Linked DNA regions of Alligator mississippiensis. The protein of the gene in region 1 binds, or shares a complex with, the protein of each later gene. Links are inferred from orthologs where the notes say so. Each region holds a gene or a part of one and is shown on either strand. Other genes may lie near its edges.

The links.
Region 2: the proteins of SORT1 (region 1) and NTS are in contact, whole or in part, in a crystal structure (PDB 4PO7), measured with the Homo sapiens proteins. The link is inferred for Alligator mississippiensis from reciprocal best matches to the Homo sapiens genes SORT1 and NTS. Residues at the interface, in NP_002950.3 of Homo sapiens: Val112, Ser113, Leu114, Ser115, Trp116, Lys260, Tyr304, Ser305, Phe306, Gly307, Leu308, Phe314, Ser316, Arg325, Ile327, Phe350, Tyr351, Ser352, Ile353, Tyr395, Gly399, Thr570, Gly571, Leu572, Ala573, Trp586, Trp597; in NP_006174.1 of Homo sapiens: Leu152, Tyr153, Glu154, Asn155, Pro160, Tyr161, Ile162, Leu163.

What each region holds. Positions count from the first base shown.
Region 1 is NC_081837.1:34,114,763-34,123,682, reverse strand, and holds the start of SORT1 (sortilin), read left to right. Parts: upstream 1-5,030; 5' UTR 5,031-5,065; coding exon 5,066-5,197; intron 5,198-8,920.
Region 2 is NC_081827.1:82,662,383-82,671,362, forward strand, and holds the start of NTS (neurotensin/neuromedin N), read left to right. Parts: upstream 1-5,091; 5' UTR 5,092-5,162; coding exon 5,163-5,182; intron 5,183-5,771; coding exon 5,772-5,851; intron 5,852-8,980. UniProt on the Homo sapiens protein: Neurotensin may play an endocrine or paracrine role in the regulation of fat metabolism. It causes contraction of smooth muscle.

The DNA.
Region 1 (8,920 bases):
GGAAAGATTGGAATTCGCCCTCGGTATGGTTAAAGCCTCCATTTCTACTGAATTTACTAAATCTAGTTAAGTCTGTGAAGAAAGCCATTTTACTGTAACTGAAGTCACAGGCTGCTGAATCTCCAGCAGGAGTTTTATTGATGGTACTGCCAGGCAGCTGCACGAAACCTTAATTTTACTGTTATTCTTTTGGGGAACCCAGCAGGATGGTGAGAGCCAATAATAGAACTGAAGTGTTCAAAGTCCCATTCCACACTGGACTATACCACCTCTAAGAATGTGCCTAATGGATTGTATTCTGGTTTCTATCAGTGTAATGTCCAAGGTCCAATAACACTGAAAGTTGCACGTAAGATAAGTGTAGGATTTAGCTATTCAATGTTATTGTCTTTAGCCTTTGGATTACTATAGTTGTAGGGGGCAAATTGAGTTATGCTCAGGCTCTTAGCATAACTTTTAGGCCTTCCCAGAACTAAGCAATTAAATTGTACAGAGTGCCTTATAACGCACTGGGAAACATAAATGCTGTGGTTGATATAGTGGGCTAACCAGGTACAGTAGTTTCCCTAAAAGGAAAGGAAGCCAAAAACAGAATAGGATCGGAGTACCTTATCTAAAAAGATGAGGGAAGAAACTTAAGGATTGGACAGTTTGAGATGAGAGAATTACAAAAGTAGTGGACAAACAAAAGAGATGGTGTGTGTTCTGTGTTTGCCACCTTGGGGAGGCAGGAGCAACCTTGAAATTTTTGTTCAGACGAGGAATCCAGAAACTAACATCCCACACACCCCGCAGAGGATCAGAAGCCGGTACCACTGAAGGTCGCACCAGTAACACCTGAAGGAACCACTTGCCAGGTCATATTATAAGGCTAATAAACTTGTAATAAGCCTAGGGGTTACTAATAAAGTTCACTTGATACCAAATCGGACAAGGGACCATGTCAATCCTTGGGGGTCTCTGGTAAAAGAAATCCTGGGGCAACAATAGTATTGTCTAGTAGGTGTCCAAACACTGCACAAATATTCCCAGTAAGTGACATTACGAATTTTGTTGTTCCAGAAAACGGTGCTATTCATGCTAGCTTTTTTTAGGAAACCAAAATACAAAAAAATAATTCTTCCCTTCATAGCTTTCAAACAAAGAACTAGTCCTTTATTTCCTACCCGAATCACATGGTAGCTGGTACCAGTAGCTATGTGATGCTGCCACGGTTTCCTTCTAACTTAAAAATCAAGGCTTTGTATTCTTACGTCTGATCCCTCTAAGGTCTGGTGAGAAACAAAACACTTGAGATTGTTGTAAGGCGGCCAACAAGCCAAATACAAGCTGGGGAATCTCAGAATGATAGATCCTTGCTGCTCCTCCACTTTTTCAGTCAAGTGCATTTTATTTGCTCTTTTTGCTACCTTTTCCCCAACCCTGCAGGCTGCCTGGGTGGGACAGCCTAGGTAGAAAGTTGGATATCCTTGTTTTTAAACGCCTACGTTTAACCCTACGTTCCAAGTAGGGTTAAGAGGAAAAAATAAAAGTATGAAGTAATGATATTAGCAAGATTAAGGTCTCTGTTGGTGAACCCTTTTTCATTTGCAAGGGAATATGGAATGAATACAAAGAGCCAGGAACTGTTGGTGGTTTTAAATCTATTTGACTTGTCAGTGACCTTGGGTAGAGTCCATAATGATTTTATCAGCTGCTGTGGTGAGATAAGCCATTCTCTCCCTCTTAACTCGGTTACAGAGGCTTAATTTCGGTTGCGTTAGCTCTTAGCCCAATTCATCCTTCATGACTTCCCTTGATTTGAATGCTTGCAAGTCCCTACCTCTCTTGGGACTGAAGGGGAAAGCTTTTATCTTGTTTATTATTCTAACTGCATTTAGAGCGGTCTTTACTTCCAAGGAGGAAGCTTCGTATGAATTTGTTGCAAAGCAATGCCGTACCTTCAAAAGATTGTTTTGGTGTGGTGTGGCATGTGACACGCCAAACCAAAGCCTCTGTTAGTTGGTTGCTATTTAAAAAGCAAAAAAACAAGTTAAGGTTTAATTTCCATGCCTTGGATTCTCAGACTATGCTGTGCCCCGCAAATATTGGCTGCTTCTGTCTATGGAAATAGTCCAACTTTCTTATATAACACTCTAAACACAGATTTGTAAAGCCATAATTGTTGCCTTGAATGAAAACATGTTAGATTGTTTATACCAGGCAAGGGCTTGTAGGCAGTGAAGAAAACCAGTTCAATGTGCATGCCATTCTCCAGTGGGTAGGAGGCATTGAGTGCTGCTTTTCCACCCAACCCAATGATTAGAGAAGTGGTTTTCAACCTTTTTTCATTTGCAGACCCCTACAAAATTTTCAAATGGAGGTCCGGACCTTTTGAACTGTAAGTGGGGGTATTCACATACTTATGATCATAATTAAGTGTCTACTTAATTCCTGGCTTCATGGTTTTTGTGGAAACCACAAAAAACTGTTGTCTACAATCGCCAAGAAATACTGCACTGGCCACCATTTCCTGTGGAACTAATCTAAAAAAATCCCCAGCGTATTATTCATAGGATACGCTGTTTTAGAATATCTCAGTGCTTACCGCAATATGAAGACAACATGAGTCGCTGCAGCCATAGATCACATCATTGAGCATTACTGAGTGCATTTACACGTGCACTTCAATGTGCAGTAACCTATTTTAATGCGCATTAGAGAGTCACGGCAAACCATGTTAATGTGCAGTAAAATTAGGCTACTGAGAATGAAGCATCACTAAAGAAGCATGCACTTGTGCTACTGCGCATTAGGGCAGCCCAATGCACATTTAGTTAGTACCTCACATTAGAGGTACTGAATTTAATGTGCAGTAGCAAAAGTGCATTGGTGAATGTGTAGATGCACCCACTGTCTGCTAGTGACAGAAACTAAGTAACGGTGCCAGTCAGTGAAAATGTTTCTGTTAAAATTGGTGTTAATTAGTATTTCTAAACTTTTTTGTAGAATGCTACATATAATAACAACAGGATACAAATTGTAATCCATATTGTGTATACATTTATAATAGATGTAATTTTATTTAAAAGAAATATTTAGAATTATAATAATATGCTACATGATATAATTTACTTTCTGTGGAATTTGCTATTAAATTGGCAGAGGCATAATACCATTCAATCAGCAGTGAGGGGTGGGGCCACTGGAATATGCCCATGAAATCAACTCTTCATGCCGCAATCAAGCTGCAAAAATTGCTTCGTCTCACCATGAGTTAGGTAAACTCCTAATCATCATAATCTTTCGCGAGCCCCTTAGGCATAGCCTGAAGACCTCTAGGCGTCTGCGACCACAGGTTGAAAACCAATGGATTAGAGTGTCTCTTACAGCTAGTCCTATCTTCTTCCCCTTTGCAGGCACTGCAAATACCTTGTCTTCCTGTTCCTTGCTCTTACCATTTCTGCTCTTTTTCCATTCTTGCTGAGTTTGTTCTTCCAGACTTTTCACTTTACAAGGCCCTTCACTTTCGATTCTTGGCTTCTTGTCTCTGTTGTCGTTCCAGCCCTAAGCAAAGCAGCACTTCTTTATTCTCATTCAGCAAATATCCCGCCTGACCTTTCTCTCTCCAATTCTTTCAGCAATTTCATCTCATCAAATACCCTCATTTATTTACTGGAAATAATAAAATCCCCTGGGGGCAAAGCGAATACGAGGTAAAGACCCTGCTTAGCAAGCAGTGTGATGATCATTCATTGTTTCTCAGCTCTTGCAATGCATTTCCAATGTAATCGCACCAAGCTGTGAAGGTTGCTAGCTGTCTTCCAGTGGCATAGGAGTGCAGCATCGGGGCTCAGTGATGGGTTTACTTTTGGGCACAGCCTGGCATGTGGGAGCTGGCTAGCTCTAAGACTGGCAACTTGAAGCAGTCAAAAGTGTGACTCTAGTCTGAGAAACATCATTGGCTTAAACCTGGTGAGACTTTTGAAAACGAACAGCAATTTTCTGTCTGTCTTTTGTAGCATGTGGCGCTCCGGGCTCCCTTCCTGCTCACGCTGGATCTGAGCGATTTTTAAACAATCCATGTGATCCTGCAATTTGACGTTTGCTCTTCTGTAGCTCCAGCTGAAAGAAACCAAAAATCAGTGACGGCAACAGGGTGGATGGATGGAGGCCTCGGGTTAATGCAGGAAAAGCAGCTTGGGGGAAGAACCAGGTAGGTGAGTCCAGAAGGAGGGAGCGGAGAGAGGGTTGCCCCCCTCCAGCTCTATCTGGAGAAGTGCAGCTGTGCTCCCTGCTCCTCCAGAGACAGAGCTGGATGCAGCTGTGCCCCGGGCCGGGGGATGGAGGCTGCTTTCCCGGCCCTGCCACCACTGTGGCTACTGGCGGCAGAGCCAGGGAAGGGTTAATCCAGCTCTTGGCACCTCTGGCAGCAGCGTCCTGCCCGCGTGGCCGCACGTTCAAGCGCCCCCTTGAGTGAGCGCCTGGGAGTGCACAGGCAGGCACCGCCCGCGGCGCAGAAGGGGTTAACGCGAGTGGCCCCGCTCGTCCGATCCGGCCTCTCCTCTCCCCGCAGGACAGGGGGCGGGGCCAGGATCCCGAGTGTTTAGTCGCGAACAGAGCGTCTCGTGCTCAGCCAATGGCCGAAGGGCTGGGCGCAGCCCGTAGCCAATCAGCAAGCAGTCGCTAGAGCGACCAGCGTGGGGGGTGAGGCCAGCCTAGGGAGCCTACAAGAGTAACAGCCAATGAACTGGGGAAGGGGGTGGGACCTCAACAAGACATTGACAAGGCGGGGGCAAAGAGCGAAGCCCACGGAAAGCGCATAGCCGGCCTGAAAGGCTTTATGGTTGCCATGGCAGAGACTGACGCCTGCTCCAGCCAATCCGAGCCCGCGAGTGGCTGCGGCTCCGCGAATGGCGGCGAAGCTGTCAGGGAAAGGCGGGGCGCGCTCCTCGGAGGGGCCGAGTGACGTCCCGCTCGCCCAATGCGGACCGCCGCCCGCGCACGCGCCGCCCAATGAGGCGCGGGGGGCGGGGCGGCGCGCGGAGCTGCGGGGCGGCCGCGGGGCAGAGGCGGCGGAGTGGCGATGGGGCTGCGGGCGGCTGCGCTGAGCGGCCTCGTCCTGCTGCTGCTGTCGCCGCTCTCCCGCCCGGCCCGGCTGCCCGAGTGCGGCGACCTGCGCGATGTCCAGGGCGCCCTGGTCAACAACACGCACAAGGTGAGCGGGGGCGCTCGGGGCCCGCGCCTCAGTCTCCAGGTCTGTGCGCGGCAGCAGCGTGCCCATTGGCAGCCCTTGGCCGTCCTCCGTGCGGATCTCTCCGCCTGAGCCGCCGGGGCCTGGCTTCAATTGGGCCAGGTGCCCCGCAGGGATCCCCGCCCCTCCCCTCCCCGGGTTTCAGTGGGGTCAAGCTCCGACTTGTGCCGCGTCCTGCCAATGCGCCCGAGGGCGGCGGGCCCGCAGTCGCAGTGTGACGGGCTCCAGCCGTCGCCCCTGCGGGAAGGCTTCGGAGAAGGGAGCGAGCGCGTGGTGGGAAGCGTCCCGGGTCCCGGGCCCCTCGTGACAGCGGGGTGATTCGGGGCTGCTGTCGAACGAATGACCCGCAGTGGAAAATCCTGCGCTCGCATTCCTTCCTTTCCCCGTCTTGGCTCTTTTTACGGCCTCGGCAGTGTTCGTTGCGCTCTCGGCAGGTTTTTTCCTGGCTCCGTTCCTTACCTGAAGCCTACGGCTCTTTTGGGGCCCTGAAGAGCAGACCTGTGTCTGGCAGGCTTCACCCCCGTTCTCCGGGGAAGGACTTCCCTTCCAAGGCAATCCGGAGTTAGCACTCCATGGGGTGGCGTCCTCCAGGCTTTTCTGCTTCCCCATTTTTTTAATTTTTTTTTTTTTTTATAAACTTGATGTAGTAGCTGGTGTCGGAGCCCTTAGCGCAGCCCTTCCCCAGGACACGGTAGCTTCTTGTTGCAGGGGTGAAAAAGTCAAGCAAAAGATTGAGATTGAAGCAATCCTGCCGAATCCGGCAGCCCTAAAATCTCGTCCGCCTGTGTATTTCCGACTTGCAAAGGCCTGCCCCTGCCCAAAGGCTAAACTCGGCTGTCCTGTTTCTTTTAATACCAGCCTTAGAGCTTGCCAGTTGATTACTTGCTGAAGGTCCGGTAGAAAAGGCGAGATCCCATCCTCTCTCCCCAAACCCAGCCCGATGCCAGAGCAGAGCACTGGTAGGAAGCCAAGCCCTAGTGCACTGCTCTTTAGTGTAAATCCAGCCTGATCCCAACTGCTTATTTCATCCACCCGCCTGACCCCGAGATGCCAAACCACAGGGAGCAGGGATTTGCTTTTCTTGCCTGCCTATGGAAAGCTTAGTGCAGTGAAAGCCTCCTCTTTGGCTGGGATTCCCAGGATTTGCCCTGATGTCACTAACTGATTGAAAAAGTCCTGTCCCTACCTCACCTCCCTCAAACACGTGAGTGTTGCAGCTGCTTTGAGGGGCAGAAGCCTCCTACCCCTTGCACAGAGCCTCCCCATTGCTGCAGATGCAGGGAGTGTGGCTGGTACTTTCTGACATCTGTTTGGCTTCTTCTCCCTGACACTGCCCCAGTGTCTGCTTCCGCTTTTGGCTTTTCCAAGCAGTAGATACCCAGGGGCAAATGTTCAACTTCTGCTGGCAACCCCAGTCTTACTGACTGTGAACCTGAACAGCTTCTGTTAATGTTGTGCTACTGCTTGGTCAAGCTGGGAGCAGGAATGAAGCTACCCAATGTGGCTCTGCAGGTGGGGGAAGGCAGGCAAGCATTGCATTGCTTTTCGTGGGGCTTGCCTTCAGATGGCTTCCATCACAGCTGTGAATTCTGTCACTGGCCAAGCAATTCAAGTCTGTTTCTACTTGCCTATAGTACCTGGTGCGTTATCAAAAGTTGGGAAGATTAAAGCAAACAGGCTGAAGTTTGGGGTAAACATGCCGGTTTAATGTTACATTCCCTCTTAGGGGTGATAGCCTGTCCTTGGGATGGATGGGTTTCATGGCTTAATGGAGCACTTCAGTCTGTCTTTTCTACCATCCTGGTCTGGTTGGAATAAGGTGGCGCAGCTTCTATGATCAGCTCTGACTGCTTCCTTCTAAGGGATTTCAAGGACTTGAACATTGCGTTTAGCATCCAATCTCCTTGTAATATACTGTAAGCATTCTCCCTTTTTTAGGGATGAAAAATGGAGCCGTCCAGTGTACTTTGCCCAAAACCAGCCTGGGACAGAGCTGGGAGCAGAGCCCAGCTCTCCTGACACTCCTCATTCTTTGCATTGCCCCACAAGCCAAACCTCCCTCCTCTATCACGGCGCCTCTGTGGGGATATAAAAAGCCCACAGTGTCTAAAAGAAACAGGCTGTGTCAGAAAAATCTGTGTGGTGGGTAATAACATGGTGGCTCAGCACGAAGAAGAATGTGTGCATTTGTTTGCTAGCACTGGCAGTGTTTTGTCCTCCCCGTCTGTGATAGAATAGATGGTGCCTGTTGGAGACTAGAGAAAGAGCAAGTAAGAGCTCTTAGGCTTTTATTATGGGCTTCTTAAGAGAGAGTGAAATCTGGAAGCTGATGCTCAGTACATTGCCTCTCTTCTTGAGGTTTATTCTGCTGTCCCTTAGCCTGAGAGGGGCCTTTCTCCCAGAAGATATGGGTTATACTCCAGAGTCTCCGTATCTCCGCTACGGGAGCCTGTGTGCACGTGGGGGAGAGCCTGTTTCCCCTTTGCCATGTGGACAGTGGATGTCAGTCTCCAGTTTGAAGTGGATTGACTGCAGCTCTGCGCACAGCTTCAGTGCTGGTCCTTGCTTGGGCTTGTTGGGTGGCATTAGGCGCCTTCCACCCTCTCCAGCCAGCTAGAGCTGCTTCCCAGTTCTCTACAAACTATTGCTTGGGTAAACTTCATCCTGGGGATCCTGCTGGCTTAGTCGTTCCAGTGCTTCTAGGTAGCAAGGAGCTAGTTGGAGGAGCACAGGGGTGGTGGTGAGTTCTGTGCGTCGGCAGGGTTTCTCCTATGATCAGAGGCTGAAGGTCCCAGACTTCTGTACCAGGCAGCATAGTTTGAGGAGGAGGTAAGATGCCAACAGTGGTGAAAGAACAGGTATGGGACTGTTTAAAAAAGCTGGACATGTACAAGTCCATGGGGCCAGTTGGGATGCACCTGAGGGAGTTGGCTGATAAGATTGCAGAGCCACTGGCTATCATCTTGGAAAACTCATGGTGATCAGGAGAGGTCCTGGATGATTGGAAAAGGGCAGAGTTCCCACATTTAAGAAAGGGGAAAAAAGGAGGATCCAGGGAACTACAGACCAGTCAACTTCACCTTTGTCCCTGGAAAAATCATGGAGCAGATCCTCAAAGAACCCATTTCTAAGCACTTGGAGGAGAAAAAGCTGATTAGGAACAGTCAGCATAGATTCACCAAGGGCAAGTCATGCCTGACCAACCTGATTGCCTTCTATGATGAGGTGACTGGTTCTGTGGATGTGGAGAAACCAGTGGATGTGGTGTACCTTGATTTTGGCAAGGCTTTTGGTACCGTCTCCCGCAGCATTCTCGCAGGCAAGCTAAGGAAGTACAGGCTGGATGAATGGACTGTAAGGTGGATAGAAAACTGGCTGGAGCATCAGGCTCAAAGAGTAATGATCAATGTCTCAACGTCTAGTTGGCAGCCAATATCAAGTGGAGTGTCTCAGAGGTCGGTCCTGGGCCGGTTTTGTTCAATGTCTTCATCAGTGACCTAGAAGATGGCATAGAGTGCAAGTTTGCAGATGACACCAGCTGCAAGGAGCAGTAGATTTGCTGGAGGGTAGGGATAGGATTCAGTGACCTAGAAAAATTGGAGGCTTGGGCCAAAAGAAATGTCATGAGGTTCAACAAGGATAATACAAAGTCCTGTATTTAAGACAGAACAATCCCATGCACCAGCA
Region 2 (8,980 bases), on another chromosome or scaffold:
CAATATATGCTAAAGCCATTATGTTTTTTTCTATCAAACTCACTTTTGATCAATTGATTTCTTCATTGAAGCATTCTTCATGTATAGTATTCATTTTTTGTGGAAAAATCTGACTTTTAATTGAAATCAGTCACCTAAAAACTGAAGAGCTATTGGGCCAAAACCTAATTTTTTAATTAAAAAAAATTAGTATGACCAGGGAACTCATTCTATGGATAAAAATATGTGCACGAGGTACCCAGAAACTACAACTCCCTGCTGGCTTGCAAGGAGATTTCAAAATTGAAATATTCTTAATCCAAAGGGATTGTAGTGAATATTGGCAGTGAGGGCTGGGTTTTTGGGAGGTAAGAGGGGGTTCCAAATTTGAAATTGTAATTGAAAACTTTAACTAAAATTATTTTTTTTAAATTTTAATTAAAAACTTTCAAGCAAAAAAAAAGGGATTCAATAGTATATTCACTGTTTTTCCTTAACAACCTGGATGATTTCTGTAATGATATCATTTTGATTCCATCATAATATTCCAGAGAGAGGACCTGCCTTGCTAATGGTGAGCCAAATAATCTTAAAGTCTTTGCAAGTCTAACACCTGCTATACTTTGTGAAAGAAAACAACCGTACAATGGGAAGAACTATTCTGTGGTTAAGGTTATTTAGAAATCCTGAATAAAGCTGTCTGACAATTTGACAACCAAAAAAAAGCTCCTCTAGTGTGAGGAACTTAGCCTTCCTAGAAGACCAGCTCCACCAATCTGTCATCTCTTCCTTACACTGACTGACAGACTACACACATTCAGAAACCTTTGTCAGATAGAGACATTCTGATTGAATCTGAGATACCAAAAAACCTATATGGCTTAAGAAAATCCCTACTGAACCACAGCTTTTAAGGACACATAGACCTAACTAATATTAAGAAATATGTCTGACTCACATACTAGTCATAGCCTGGTTGCTTTACATTGCTTCGACAATGCAAAGGATCTTTAAAACTGGCTTAACCAACTTCCTGAATTTTTTCTGGCATGAAGAGAATCCCTGGGGGATATTGAAGAAAACGTATGCAAGGACAGGAGCCAAATCTGTGCCTTCTCCCCGTCTGCTGGAATGGCTAACAGGGGCCACTGGCAGTCACATGTACAATAGAAAGATGTGGTGAGGGTTGTCTTGGCAGCTTTAGGTTCAAATCAATGTTGCTGTCATACAGATACCTTCTGGGCCCTTTCTTCTATCAGCCCAGCCTCCAGGTTGTGATTTACAGCTTTCACAAGACCTTTTTTTTTTGCCATTTACGAGTATATGTGGAACATTAAAAAAGGCAAAGTGTAATAAAAACATACACCAACCCATATTTTCATGTTATGAAAACATAACAGCATAGGTAAATCTCTGGTTTTAAGGAACTTATCTTCAGAAACCAACCTCTACAAGATTCATGATTCCCGACTTTTCTTGAAGCATGAGTAGTGCTTAGGTATGTAAAAATGTCACAGAAGACTGGCTGTAAAACAAGTTAAAACAACGATGTCTTATGGCAATATCTTTTATTAGACAAATAGTTGGGAAGAGATGTTAGACAAGCTTTCAGGCACAGGGTGACTTGTTTGGTCTCAGCTGTTTTCTGATTAAACATACTACCAAAAAACCCCTTGCTTCTCACATACTTACTGGACCCTCAGAGCTACAATACTCCAACATTTTTGCACTTCAGGGCATTTAGCTGGTTGTTTCTCTCCTCCTATAGATATAGGGTATCACCTATTCACCTTTATTATAGGCAACAAGCCAAAACAGACTGCACAGGGTGAAAACAAATGATTTGCTGTTGTTGTTCTCTTATTGTTCCATTAACAGAAAGCAAAATTCCTTAATTACTTACAGATGCTTCATTGTTTGATACAAGGTAGCATATGGGTCTGGAAATGTTCAGCAAACCACAGGCTGAATGCCACTAGGATGTGACAGCAATCCCATTCTAAGTGATGCTTACAAGAGCCTACACATACATTCCATTCCCATGATTAAAATGAAAAAGAGGGAACTTCAGAGATAAAGTGAAGGTGAACTTTTCAGAAATGGGATTAATTACCTTCGAGAAAGCCTCTCATTGAACAGGTTTTCCTGCAAGATAAACACTTCAGAATAGGAAAGAGACCTAAATATGAAAGGAACTTATTTTGAGAATGAGCCATTAAGATGGCTCATATTCTAAGCATGGAACAGAGTGGCTGCGGAAAGCTGCAGTCAAGGAAGGAACGGGTGGAAACGAAATAAAGGAGCAATAGACAAAGAGAAGACAGCTCAATCCTACTTAGAACAGAATAAAAGTACTTAATGGTGCTGCATCAGTGTGCCTGACCTAAGTGCGCTTGAAATTAATATGTCAAGAGAGCACAGATGAGCAATGAAGGGGATGTGGAGGCACAAGAAATTTTGGACACATGGTGCTCAAGCCTTGCCATTTGTCGGTAGTGAGAGAAAAACAGAGGTAAAGATTAAAAAGTTCGTAATATAGACAAAACTTTAAATTATTCCTCAGAGACTCATAATCCAGGGAGTACCAGGGTAAAAAAAGCAAACAACTCCCCCCTGCAAAGTGATCATAACTTTTATCGGCATTGAAATTGACAATACTTGATTCATCGAGGGAAAGAAAAGCCACTAAACCTATAGATTCCAGTTAGGTTAAGAATATGGGAAATTGCACTAATGGAGAAATCCATGGCAGGAGGCAAGAACTAGAAAATATTAATCTGTTAAATATGATTCTCATTCACAGATCTGTGAGAAAAAGCAGCACACCCACAGAATAAAATCAGCTGAAGATTGGTCTTTACGCACTACATACTGTTTAACCACAGTGCGAAATAACAACACTGACTGTACAGTGTGAAGATTATTTCAGGAACTCATCCTTGTGTTGTAAGATAAGAAGAAAAGATTTCAATAACATGCAACTTTTTCGACTGTTAAAATCCAAAGAATTAAAAATGTACGTAAAGACTGTTTGTATGTATACATTTATGTCTATAGTGCTTCCAAGTTTAATTTTTAGGGTAAAGTGAAACTTGAATTGATAGAAAAGGCATTAGTTTAGGTTTTACCAGCAGTTGCCTTTTATGGCAAGAGTTTTTAAGTGCTTGTGTGTTTTCTCTTACTTCTGTGCTATGTATTTCAACACTGTGCATAAATATGTAGAATATAGAAGAAAGATATAATTGATCGCTGCCATTGCCTATATTTGCTCTTTACTTTTAGAGAACACACTTCCCTCTGTTGAGGTGGGCAAAGCAGTCAATATGTGAGCAACTGTCAATTGATGAGTTTGTTGTTGGCATGTATAGTATGGGTACCAGTCCTTAAATATATTCATGAGCATAAAAATGCTTCACATTATATCAGCATTAAATAAAGGAAAGAAAATCACCCTGCAAAGAAATAATGTGATCCAGGGTCGATGTGATTCTTTAGTATTGCACATCTATACTTCAATGCAAATATTACCTTATCTTATCATTCTTCTGCTGTGAATATTTTTTACATTTACAACATAAGCACTGGAAACAAAGGGAGAATAAAAAAGTTACAAGGAAAGAATGCAAACACAGCTAGGAAGTGCTCTACATAAAATATCAATCTGTGTTAAGAAAAGTTAATATAGCTCTGATTGCTCTACAGAGGTCTTAAAGCTTTAATGCCAGTGCCTGGAGAAAATTATTTTTTTCTTATATCTCTATTGCTCCCCCTAATGGAGGCAAAGGCACTACCTAAAACAAAATACAGTCTCTCTGATCCAGTTTAAAGAAAGCCTTTGCACAAACTATGATTGTATGGGAACAAACATTTAGTTTTACATTCTCAATTTTACATTTTTTACATATTTATTTACTTAGGTTTCTGCTCATCCTAGAGTCTGTTCTCAGTAAATCACTGGGACACTATCAGTATTGCTCAACACTAATGAAAATCCAACTCCCATAGCTTAACAACAGCTCCCTATATACATGGTGTGTGTGTGTGTATGTGTGTGTGTTTCAAGGATTGTAAGAATTTACCATAAATGTAAAACGTATTGCATTCAACTTGAAGTGTAGAACAGGGTAAGTGATATGTATGCATATATGTATAAAGGTTATTTTAAAACATTTTGTGTAGATTTCCCCCCCTGGTATTTTATATATATTAAACTTGATAAATATATTATTATATATTAATGTTATGTAAGTAGTATTATACATATTAAACTTGATTAATATAATATTTAGTATAATATCACTATATTATTGAACTTGAAGTGTGGAACAGGGTACATTTTTTATATTTTACATAGGACCCCATACTCTAGAATGAAGATATATATGTATGTGTATATGTGTGTGTGTGTCTGTCTGTCTACATATACACACACATACACATATATATACATATACATGTGTATGTGTGTGTATATGTGTATATACACACACATGCATATACATATCTACCTATCTAGATATATATATAAACACACATACATATCTACCTATCTATCTACCTACCTATCTAGATATATATAAACACACATACATATACATATCTACCTATCTACCTACCTACCTATCTAGATATATATACACATACATACATATACATATCTACCTATCTACCTGTCTATCTAGATCTATATAAACACACACACATATACATATCTACCTATCTACATCTCTATCTATCTAGATACATCTGTGTATCTGTGTATACATCTATCTGTGTACAGATAGATAGAGATGTAGATAGGTAGATATGTATATGTATGTGTGTTTATATCGATCAATCGATCGATCGATAGATGTACACACACACACATTCATTCCTGGGTATGGGGGCCCTATATGTACACTTCAAGTTTAATATACTAATATATTCACTATTATATTGAATATTATATTAAATGAAGTTAATAGTATACATTACGTACAATACCAGGCACTGTGGTGTGTGTGTATAGATATAGATATGTTTCCTCTCTCTCCTCTCTCTGCCTAGACACACCCATTTACCCTATTCTACACTTCGAATCTGATACACTATTTCATACGCAGGTCGCCATACCCAGAAATGCCCAGGAATTTGGTTCTTCTGTATCTCCTAAATTAACACGGGGGCTGGGGGCGAAACCTATGCAAAATATGTTTAAAAAGTAAGTAACCGTGGGTGGTTACACCCAGCCAGCTGCATGCATGCCATCCGTTTCAGGCGATCGGTGTGTTTTATCCCCGCCACCCCTGGTGCGCTGGCGATGAGTGAGTGACCGGGGCGCGGCAGCCGCGGAGGTGGCGCGGGTCGGGACAGGGTGCAGGGGCCGGGCCGGCCCGCGGGGCTGCTCCAGGGGCTGCGGCCAGTGCGCGCGGATCCTGCCGCGAGGGGCAGGGAGAGAAATGACCCCGGCCCTCGGGTTTGCCAAACACTTGGGAGCCGAGTGCGTCAAGCGGAGCGGAGCAATTAGAGACGCGCGTCACTTGCTCTCGGCACTGAGGACTGGGGGACGGCGGGGGGCGGGGGAGGAGGAGGAGGGTGCTTCATTAAGAGACAGCCGCTGTCCTGTTGTGACATCACAGCCCTGCTTATATACTCAGGCAATGGTCCGGGTCCCCCCGATGGTTCAGACACCTCCAAGTCAGCTCGAGGCAAAGCAGCAGCTGCACTCGCTTCTCTCTCTGTCTTTCTGTGTCTGTCTCTCCCTCTCCCTCTCCCATCTCTTCTTAGTATTTATGGACTTGACTTTCTAGAGGGCAGAAGATGGCAAGGATGAGAATCCAACTGGTGTGCATGATGCTGCTGGCTTTCACCTCCTGGAGCCTGTGCTCAGGTAAGCCGTGCTGGGCAACTTCCTGGGGCAGGGTGGGGTCTGCGCCCAGCTGCCCCCGTGGGCACTAGGGTTGCCAACCCTCCCAAGAGTGCCCGGGAGTCCCTAGGGCTTAGAGAGAAATCTCCTGCCAGCATCACCCAGGAGATAAACGATGGGGCATTCGTTAAAATACATATTAAAAGTTGAATCTGACTTACACAGTTGCCCGGTGGGTTTTTAAAATGTAATAGTGATGTGCATTTGCCTCCCCGACATAAAGTCATGCATGTCATTGCATCATGTGATGAAACCTCCCGGAATAGATTCAAACAGAGTTGGCAAACATAGTGGGCAGGGAGTTATTCTTCCTTTTCTGACGGTTATTTTGGAGGGGAGATGGTTTAAAATGCACCTAGTCATTTTCAGGTAATAGTGACTGTAAGGGCAATTTCCCCCTTGGATTTTATCAATAGAAGGGGACTCAGTTAACTCCAGACTCATACTTCTGTATCTGCAGAGGAGCCATCCTTCATAATAAGTTTTGAAGGGCATAGTTTTCCTGTCATTCCCATTAGTTTCTTTCTTTATATTCACCCAGTCTCACACAGCAGCAACATCAAGGGGCTTTTGGGGTCATTTTGAAACATATACCAGGATGACAGAACAAGAAGCAATGGTCTCAAGTTGCAGCAAGGGAAGTTTGCAAGGGCAGAATTTTCTCACTGGGAGGATAGTAAAACATGGGAACAGGTTACCCAGAGAGGTTGTGGACTGTCTCCTTCAAGGTTTTTAAGACCTGCTAGACCAAGCTTTGGCTGGGGGGGATCTATTTGGGGATGTTTCTGCTTTGAACAGGGGTTGGACTAGATGAGCTCCTGAGGTCCCTTCCAACCCTAACTTTCTATGATTCAATGATTTAGAAACATATACCAGAGGCCATGCACTTGCTAACGAATGCTGAAAATATACCTGGTTTATATCTTTGAAGTATCCTACGGCTCATGAGAAGCCTTAATGTGCCCCGCACCAAACCGATGAAGTGTGTTCTGTATACTGAGATCACCTCCATCAGTAGCTGCCAAATGATTGGGGGATGAAAGGCTGCAGAGGGTTACATCAGTGCAAACCCAGCTCACAATATGGGGAGATAAAGTCACCTCTTTCTCTTCCAAGAGTAATTATGTGATATAGTTAGAGGATGACAGATTGTATGCAACACAATAACTGCTATTTGCTTTATATTTTCCTTTGGAAAATGGTACAGATGAGTGTATTCATAAAACTGTAACACTCTGTAACGGTTATTATACATGTATACACACAGGCAGTATGAATTATTTCAAAACCTTGCTAACTTTCAGCGGTGTTAATCAAGTATTAAAGCATTTTGATAAGTCTGTAATCTATACAATAACATAAAATGAGACAAACTTTAAAAGAGTACACATGCAAATAACTTTCACACTTACCTTTTTAATGCTCCACTTTGCACTGTATTCAGGAATACTGGGATCTATTTTACAGCTTAAAATTTCCCACCTGTGAACTTTTATACCAGGTAACAAAGCTCCATTCCCCTGTTTTGTGCCCAGCCAGTTATTAAAGGAATGCTAAAGAAACCTTTTGAAAAGTATAATTAGTAAAGTAGGCACTGATGTTTGAAAATGCTTAAAAATATAAGAAAAACACAGCCAACATAATAACTTTGGCTCTGACCTTGCTCCTATTTAAAGAGAAGAGAATTTTGGATTAATGTCAATATGCAGAATTCATTCCCCCCCCCCCTCTTTTTTTACAATACAGCAAAAATAATATTAACAATCCTTCATTTTTATATATCACTTTTTACCCCTATTTCAGAAAAGGCTTGTAACAAGAGGAAGTAAGCTTTAATTCAGCAGGATTAGATATACTGTACTTGAAATTGTTGTTTACTATACAGGAAATAAGATAGAAACTGTCTGTACTTGAGAGAGAGGATAAATAAGCTCATAATGGAAATGATTATACAGTTTTTGCTAAAGTTAATGACTACAGTATTAGGACACAGATCATTTATTTAAATTTTCCTTTGAACATATGGTTTACACTAAAGTGAAACATATCGTCTTGTACAATTTAAATATCATACTGCATCTAAGTTGCTAATCATGGGAAGGAAAAACAAACTGTATATTTCCATTTTGCTGAAAAAATACAGTATGATATAATCAAAGTGTATGTTCAAAGCTCTCCATAATTCCGCCCCATTAATGTATCTCCCTTGAACTCCTCCAGCATCCCTTCCCAATCCTTGTGCTCTCTGCATCAGTTCCTTCTGCCTCTTTTTTTTTTACTGACTTGTAAGTCCAGGTCTCCTACCTTAGCAAACTTTGAACCAGGAATAGTCTTCCAAGTAACACATACCAGACTTCCTTGTTCTCTTTGCTTGGCACATTGAAAAAAGATTTAAGTGTTCTGTGCAGTGTTTGAGATTTTGGTATAAATATGAACTCTACGCTTGTCCAAACAGGAGCCTGTCAATACAGTTGTTGGTAATTGTAAAGCTGGATAGGAAATTAACTGGCTTTTAATTGCAAAGAGGACAGTGAATAGTACTGAAAAAAAGGTTGAAAGGACGTTACTGGTTGAGTTTCTCAAGGATTGGTCTTGTGACAGATCTTGTTTGATTTTTTCATTCAAAGCCTGACAACATTAATATGAAAAGCAATTGGGAAACTGCATGGCAAGACCTGGGGACTAGTGTAATAGAAATGGGTTGAAATTCAGGACTACTTAATGCAAGGTCCTGTATTTAGCAACTAACAAGAGCTTCTTGCTGTACTTGTCTATTGAAAACAATAGAAAACAAGAAGAATTTAGGAGTAACCATTGATCAAAAGTGGACTGTGGATCACACATGTAATGTGGCTCTAAAAAGGGCTAATGCAAACCTAGGATATTAGGGTGAGGCAACAGGGGCAATAGCCCCAGGTGCTGATTGGGATGGGGATGTGTGAAAAAAAAGGCTTTTGCTGAAACTTCATGGTTGTGTTTGTAGCAGCAGCAGAGACTGGAAGACATCACTGCCTCTGTGTGCAGGAGCTGCTCTGGGCAGCTTGCCATGTCATTACACTTCTGCTAGAATACATCTGTCAAAGTATACCCAGT